Lonchura striata: one gene and its partner. The protein of the gene in region 1 interacts with the protein of each later gene in a biochemical or structural test. Links are inferred from orthologs where the notes say so. Each region holds a gene or a part of one and is shown in the gene's direction. Other genes may lie near its edges.

Region 1 (3,901 bases):
GCTCTGCCAATGCTTCTGTTTGAAGCATGCACATAATGCTGAGCATGTCGTGACCTTGGTATTTGCCATGTGCTGCAGCACACCCATGTCCCCTCCTGCATCGGGACCTGGGTGTGCTGCCCGGGGAGTCAAGCCCCTGGGCGACCTATGGCTGTGCCCTGTGTCACGATACTGTGGCAGGAGGCCAGCTGGGTAATTAATTGCTCAGGGCTGTTTCATGAAGCCTGCAGGGACATGAGATACATGGGCAAGCAAATATCTGCTGCAGGATGCGCGGCCTGTCTGCCCCATCCCGGGCTGGACCCGGGCTCTCCTTACAGCCTTGCCCAGGAGCGCTCCTCAGCCTCGGACGTGTCTCCTCGCCACGAGGAGCCAGATGACATTCCCGCAGACGGGGAGGAAGGCAGCAGGAGTGAACCCGCTCAGGTGGAGCGATGCCACGGGATGGGGCTGTGGTTCAAGGGCTGTCCCCTACATCATCCCAGTGTGTATAATTTGGGAAATCACTTCTTTGGGTCTTTTTTTGTTAAAGAGGCGCCCGTTGGAGGGCAGAGGAGACGCGCAGTCCGAGCTGTACTTTTGACGAGTGGTGCGGGCAGAGCCGTTGCAGGGGTGGGGCCTCGTCCCCCGCCCGGTCCCCGGGGAGCGAGAGAGCGGGTATTGCGGGGGGATGTGTGGGCTGCGGGGGGTGCGAGGGGGCTCCGGGAGGGGCTGTTCCGGCTCGCCGCGCTGCTCCGCAGCTGGGAAAAGTGCTTCTTCCCCCGCCCCTTCCCCCCCGGCCTGTCCTGGTCGAAAACGCGAAGGAGGCAGAGCAGAGAAGGGGGACAGCCCGGAGCAGCCCCTCAGGCGGCGGGGGGACGCCCTGTCCGAAGCCCCTCTGAGCCGCTCGGTGCCGCCCAGCCGGCGGCGCGGGAGACACCGGTAACTTCACCGCACGCACATGACGGGCCCGCGGCACCGGGACGCGGTGAGTACCGGCGCGGGGGCGGGCGCGGGGGCGGGCGGAGGGCGGGGGCAGGGAAGGGGCGCGGCCGCGCGCCCCGCCGCCCCCCGCCGCCCCCCGCCGCGGCCGCCACTTCCCGCGGGCGTCGCTCGGCGGCGGGCGCTGCCTCCGCAGGAAGCGGCCCCGCGCCCGCCCCTCCCGCGCCCGGCGACGGGCACATGCACTGTGCGGCGCGGCGGCGGGATGGCTCCGGCTCCGCTCCCGGCTCCGGCGGCAGGCGCCGAGCCGCGGCCCCCCGCGCTGCTGCCGCTGCTGCTGCCGCTGCTGCCGCTGCTCCTGCCCGGCCGAGCCGCCGGCCTGGAGGTGCAGCGCAAGTTCCTCTCGCCCACCCTCACCAACAACTTTGCGCTGGACGGCCCCGGCTCCCGCGTTTACCTGGCGGCCGTCAACCGGCTGTTCCAGCTGTCGGGGGGCGAGCTGGCACTGGAGGCGGAGGCGGCGGTGGGGCCGGTGCTGGACAGCCCGCTGTGCCACGCACCGCAGCTGCCGCAGGCCTCCTGTGAGCACCCCAGGGTGCTCACCAACAACTACAACAAGATCCTGCAGCCGGACCCGGAGCAGGGCGTCCTTGTCGTCTGCGGCTCCATCTACCAGGGCCTCTGCCAGCTGCGCAGCATGGCAAACATCTCGGCAGTGGCCGTGCGCTTCCCGCCGGGCGGGAGCGACTCGGTCGCTGTCTTCCCTAGCATGCTGAACGTCGCGGCCAACCACCCCAACGCCTCCACCGTGGGGCTGGTGCTGCGCCGCGGCGGTGGCGGCGGGGCGCGGCTGCTGGTGGCCGCCACCTACACCGGCTTCGGCAGCCCCTTCTTCCCCCGCAACCGCAGCCTGGAGGACCACCGCTTCGAGAACACGCCCGAGATCGCTATCCGTGCCCTCAACGCCCGCGGCGACCTGGCCAAGCTTTTCACCTTCGACATCAACCCCTCCGACGACAACATCCTCAAGATCAAGCAGGGCGACAAGGCGCGGCACAAGCTCAGCTTCGTCCGCGCCTTCTTGCAGCACGGGGCCGCGCCGCCCGCCCGCCGCCCGTACGCCTACCTGGCGCTCAACACTGAGGCTAACGCGGGCGACAAGGAGAGCCCGGCGCACAGCCTGCTGGCCCGCATCTGCCTGGGCGAGCCAGCCGAGGCCACCCTCAACGGCAGCGGCGAGACCAAGAAGCTGACCGAGTCCTACATCCAGCTGGGGCTGCGCTGCGGCGGCGCCGCCGACGCCTTCACCCGCCTCGTCTCCGTCTTCCCGGCGCGGGCGGCTTGGCGCAGCCCCGCTGCCCCTCACGGCCCGGCCCTGGCCCCGCCGCCCCCCGAGGAGCTGCTCTTCGGCGTCTTCGAGCGGGCCGGAGCCGGCGGCGGCCGGGGCCGGCCGCAGTCCGCGCTCTGCGTCTTCCGCTTCGCCGAGATCGAGGAGACGATCCGGGCCGCCCGCAACTCCTGCTTCGTCAGCCCGGCCGCCGGCATGGTTACCGTGCTGGACAGCGTGGTGCAGGGCACCGGCCCGGCCTGCGAGAAAAGAAATATACAGGTACGGCGGGCGGCGGACACCTGCCGGGGCGAGGGGGCGCGGGGAGCCGGTAGCCGGCGGTGGACAGCGGCCGCATCTCGTGTCCCGTCCCGCGGCCGCTGCTGCCTCCACCTCTCCCGAGCTGGAGCGCATCCCCCGCGTCCCCCGGGCGGGCGGCTGAGCCTCATACCCCGCTGCCCTCCCCGGAGACCCTCTCCCCTGCTCGGGGACAGCATCGTTCTCCTAACCTGGTTGCCGGTGCCCCACTTCTCGTGGGTGCCCTGCGCGCCCGGATGTCTGTGGGCATCGCCAGCTCTATGTCCCGTCCCGCGGCGCACAGCCCTGCCAGGGACGGCACACAGGCAGCCTTGGCTCCCCGAGTTCGTGGCAGAAGTTTGCTGTTGTCACAATTTGTTACTGAGTGGCCGTAAATGTTAGCGCGAGACACAGTCGCCTGTTTCCCTTTTCACTAAAAATATATCATGCTTGGGAAAAAAGAGAGGGGAAAAGGGCTGCTTTAACGCTGCATTTTTACCTTCCTTTGGGACGAGTGCACAGCTCAGCTCCATCAAAGATTGTGAAAACATCTGTTTGATTTCAGAGGCGAGATCGAGCATTTGGGCTTGGGCTTCCCTGTGCAATGCCAGTGGCAAAGAGAGAAAGGTTTCCCATGGTAACCGAAGTGTTTAGTGTGGCATCTCTACTCTGTGGTAAAATATGTACTCTTAATGCACTTGGTTCATAGACCTACTCTAGCAAAGTTGAACAGTTTTTCCCTGGTGACAAAGTACAAGCTGCCTGACAGCCAGCAAATCTAGTAGTTGGAGCTAATTCCACAAAGACTGGGTGTGTTAAACACTGGGAGCTCAGTCCTGACATCTTGGCATGGTCACGGCTCTCAGAGGACTCACTGGGAGTCAGGAATCCTATTTACAGGGTGTGAAGGCACCCGTAGTTCTTGTTGGCTGTGGCTGATGCTCAGCATCCTTGCGGAGCAGCCCCTCAGCCCCGGGTGGGATTGAGCTCTCTGCCAAGGCGGGTCAAGCAGCAGCATCGGGGCTAGGGCTGCTGGAGGCACTTGAGGTGAACAAACAGCCTGGCCATAACTGAAACGCAGAGGCAGATGTACCCATCACCCCTAAGCTTCCCCAGGACTCCAGGACTGCTGTGGAGATACAGTTTTTTCTAACTTCTGTTCAGTAAAGAAAATAATCATGACTAACACCAGTCTACTGATGTTGAAAGTATCAAATGCTGTATCTAGTAAGGTATTTAGACAGCTAATTAATGAGTGACTCAAAGGAGACTACGCAAAGATGAGATTTCACTCCATCTTTGGTCCCAGCTTGTCACACTGTTCCACTGTAATGTGTGTTCTTGGTAGCACCTTTC
Region 2 (3,901 bases), on another chromosome or scaffold:
CCGTCCGCCAGGGTCTGCGGTGCGGGGGGGGGGCCGAGATGCAGCCGTAGCCATGGCGACGTGAGCCGGATGCGGGGCCGGGGGATGCTGCTCCCGCCCGCCCGCCGCAGGTCGGTACCGCCGCTCCGCGACCGGGGCCGGGGGCGGCCGGGGGGCCCGAGGGGGTCGGGGGAGGCTCCGAGGGGGCGGCAGGTCGAGCGGGAAGGGGGACGTCGCCATAGTGGGGTTGGGCTTGGGGGACCCCCAGCGCTGATGCTGCCAGCCAGCAACAAAGAGGCTGAGGTGCCGGCCCTGGGGAGACCCCCGGGACCCCCCGGTACCCCCCGCACTCCCTGCCTTCACATTCCTCCCTTTCCCCTATCTCCTGGGCACCCCTCCACACCTCCTGCACCCCTCAGCTCCCTCCTGTGCATCCTCCTCTCTCTTACCTGCACCCCCCCCCGGCTCTCCCCACCCTTCCTATCGAACAACCCCATCGACACAATCGTCTCCCATTTCCTCTTGCGTACACCCCCCAGTTCCTCCCCTTCATCCTCCCATGCCTTCAGTGCAACCCCCCTCCTCCCTTGCCTCCCGTCTCCCACACACACACCCTGCTCTGGATCTCGGGGCTTCCCCCAGCCCCCCTTGGGTGCTGGGAGCATTCCTGCACCCCCCACACCACAGGGCTGCTCCTGGATGTGACGTGGGCAGGGGACTGGAGTCCAGCTGCAGAGAAGGACCAAACTCTTCTCTGCGGTGGGAAATTGAGGCACGGGGAATGTCTGAGCAGCTGGCAGATCAGTGCCACCAGCTCCACACTCCCCTGCTCACCTTGCAAGGGCTGGGCCTGGCTCCATCCTGTGGCAGGTGATGTGCTCTTTGCAGGGAGTGTGCGTGTTCATTGACAGCACAATATTCCCTGGCTTAGAGGGAATCCTCCAGGAGGAGACCCAAGCAGGAGCAACACCCATGAAGCCACAGCTGTGGTCAACCTGAAAGCACCAGGGAAACCTGACCCACCGCAGTGTTGAGACCCTCGGTGGGACTCCCTCCCATGTTCCAAATCTTATATAGGGAGGCTGTAAATTACATTCCCCCCACCATGTCCCCAGAGCACTGTGACCAGGGGACCCAAAAAAGAGGAGAGACCAGGCTGAGAAGGGATTCTGCCTTCCCACGCTGTCAGAGCAGCCGTGAGGCTGCTGTCACCTCACATCCTGTGTCAGCCCTGGCTCACGCTGGCGGTTTTCCTCAGCCCCACCACAGCCCCAGTCAAGCCTTCAGCCTCACCGAGGAGCCTCTGCTCCCGTTTCTATCCCGCCTCCCCCTCCGCGGCCTCGGTGGCTATGGCCCAGGGCAGAACAATGCGGCCGGTCCAAGGCTCCGTGCGGCCCCGTCCCCCAGGCAGCCCTTTGCCAAGTGGGAAATCCGGGGCAGAGTAACCTACTTTCTGTGCTCACAAGGAGCTTCTGTCCCAGCCAAGCAAGGTGGTGAGCACAGCGCTGCCCTCCCGGGGCTCCATGTCCCGCTGGGCTGCTCTGGGGATGGGAGAGGCAGGTAAGGAGGCCCCAGCAGGGTGGGATGCTCCTCAGCCTTGTCCAGAGGGATATTGGGGTACCTCAGGTATGGCTCTCATGTTGAGGAACTCCAGGGCTTTGGCTTTGGGGGGGTTTCTTGCCTACAGCCATCCCAGAGCAGCCTGGGGTTAAGGATGGACTCTCCAGGTAAATGGGTTCCTGGAACAGCTGCAGGAGCTTTGTGGGGGTGCCCCGTGGGGCTGTTTGTGGGGAGCCATGCTCTGCCCTGGGGGGCTGGTTTTTTGGGTGATGCCTGCCCCCCTGGGGCTGGTTTTGGGGATGATACTCAGGCCTGCCGTTGGCCCATAGAATCCACAGGAAAAATGCCATTGTGTCCCTCACCCCAAAGATTTCCCCAGCAAGCAAAGCCAGGCATCTGGGCACACCTTTGTCCCCCACGTCGCCCCTTGGAGGAGCAGAGCTCCCTGGTTCCCATGCCAGCTGCCTCCGCCAGGCTTCGCTGCTGTCCCTGCGGGGGTGCGAGGCAGGGGAGGCGGGCGCAGGCACCCACTGCCCCAACCTGCCGGGGCTCGTCCTCTTCCAGCAGGACTTTCAGGTTCCCGCAGTCCCGGCGGAGCCAGGCAGGGCTGGGCTGGGCCGGGCTGCAGCGAGCCCCGCACGAGCCGGGCTGGGAGCTCGGCAGCCCGGCCGCGGCTGCCGATCGGGACATGGGCCCACGGGAGACGCGTGGCCGCAGCCCCCGCGGCTCGGGCGCCTGCCTGGTGCCCGTGCTCCAGCGGGGGAGGTGAGCGGCCCGGTCCTCGCCCGCCAGAGAGGTAATGCCGCCCGCTGGGGACACGGTGGCCAGCAGCAAAGGGGCCTGGGGACCGTGAGGTTCTGCAGACGGGGCTCTTCCCCCAGGGCTGCTGGCATCAGCTGCAGAAAGAGCTGCAGGAAGGGGCTTCCCGTGCGTGTTCCCCCCATTTTGTGGACGCTCTGATAACTGGTGGAGCGAACAGAGGAATCCCTGGTGGGGATGGGCTCTGAGGCTCTTGGGCCAAAGCCTCTGCACACTGTGCCGAGGTCCCGTGCAGGAGCCCAGAGGGTGAGGGTGAAACAAGGGGAAACCTCTGACTGTGCCAGAGACTGTGGGCAGGAGCCCCGCAGGGCGAGGGGACATCTCTGAGTGCCGATGCAGCAGTGGGAAGTTCGTGCCCAAACTGGGGGGGTCAGTGGGGCTCGAGGTGCTGAGGGCCCCCCATCCCCCACCTCCTTGCCGGGTGCTGCTTCCCCGTCTCGTTTCCGCCGGGTGCAGTGACACGCAGCCCGGCAGCGTGTGCCCTCACCCTCGGCCTCTCCGCAGGGATGGTGGTGGGACCCTCCTGGGGCGCATCCCTGCCGCCCCCCGCCATGCCCGCCGCCCTCCGCCTGCTCTGCGGGGTGGTGGTGCCGGCTGCCCTGCTCTGCGCAGAGCCCCTGCCCCGCGTCACCTTCCCCAGCGGTGAGTACGGCCCCGGGAAGGGCTGGGACAGCGCGGGAGGGGGGTACACAGCCTCTGCTGGGAGGGCGGCCATCCCCAGGGCTGAGCATCCGGCAGCAGGAACCTTGGCGTGCTCCCCATCATATCCCCAGCCCGCCCCATCACTGACCCTCCCGTGGGGCTGGAGACAGCGCCAGTGCCCGCGGGGGATGTGATGGGGGACGAGAGTAGATGAGGCTGCTTGGCACCCCAGCACCCAATGGGCCAGATCCTACAGTGATTTTGTCACCCTGCTGGCACCCAGGGTCTGCTCACGGTCACCCTGGGGGGACGAAAAGCTGCCTCTGGAAGGGACAGGGCACGGCATGTCCAGCTGGAAGGCAAAGCAGGAGATTGGAGGGGCTGTGATGTGGCAATCAGGCTGCAAGAGGGTCTGTGTGCCATGGCAGGGTCAAGCCTTTCCAGCCCTGACTGCACTGTCACTTCCTTTTCCCCACGCAGCTGTGCCCAAAATTGCAAAAACCCTCTGGTTTTGGTGTTTGCTGGGGATGAATGAGAACCTGCAGTCCCTGGCTGTGCCTGAGGGCACCCTGGGGGCTGGTGATGCCCCCCAGCCTGGCACCCTGGGGCTTGAAATCCCTCCAAGGTGGCACCCTGGGGCAGTGCATCCCCCAAACAGAGCACTACCCTTGGCCATGGTACCAAAGCATCACAGGCACAGCTTGGGGGGGAAATGTCCCCCATTTCTGGAGGTCTGCAGCTTGGGGATGCTCAGCTCTTGCAGTAGGAGCTGGAGGGGACAGTGGGAGGGGGGAACCTGGAGGGTGAAGGGGTGATGGTGATGTGGGTGCTGAAGGGGAAGAACTGCACCCCATTTCCTGTGTGGGATGAGCCTCAATGGCAGCTGCTGCCACATCCGCAC

What was found.
Region 2: the proteins of PLXND1 (region 1) and SEMA4A form a complex in vitro, tested with the Homo sapiens proteins (2 studies listed by IntAct, with this or other methods). The link is inferred for Lonchura striata from reciprocal best matches to the Homo sapiens genes PLXND1 and SEMA4A.

What each region holds. Positions count from the first base shown.
Region 1 is NC_134614.1:23,986,689-23,990,589, reverse strand, and holds the start of PLXND1 (plexin-D1), read left to right. Parts: upstream 1-1,186; coding exon 1,187-2,530; intron 2,531-3,901. UniProt on the Homo sapiens protein: Cell surface receptor for SEMA4A and for class 3 semaphorins, such as SEMA3A, SEMA3C and SEMA3E. Plays an important role in cell-cell signaling, and in regulating the migration of a wide spectrum of cell types.
Region 2 is NC_134635.1:1,157,283-1,161,183, reverse strand, and holds the start of SEMA4A (semaphorin-4A), read left to right. Parts: upstream 1-1,463; 5' UTR 1,464-1,502; coding exon 1,503-1,539; intron 1,540-2,862; coding exon 2,863-3,000; intron 3,001-3,901. UniProt on the Homo sapiens protein: Cell surface receptor for PLXNB1, PLXNB2, PLXNB3 and PLXND1 that plays an important role in cell-cell signaling. Regulates glutamatergic and GABAergic synapse development.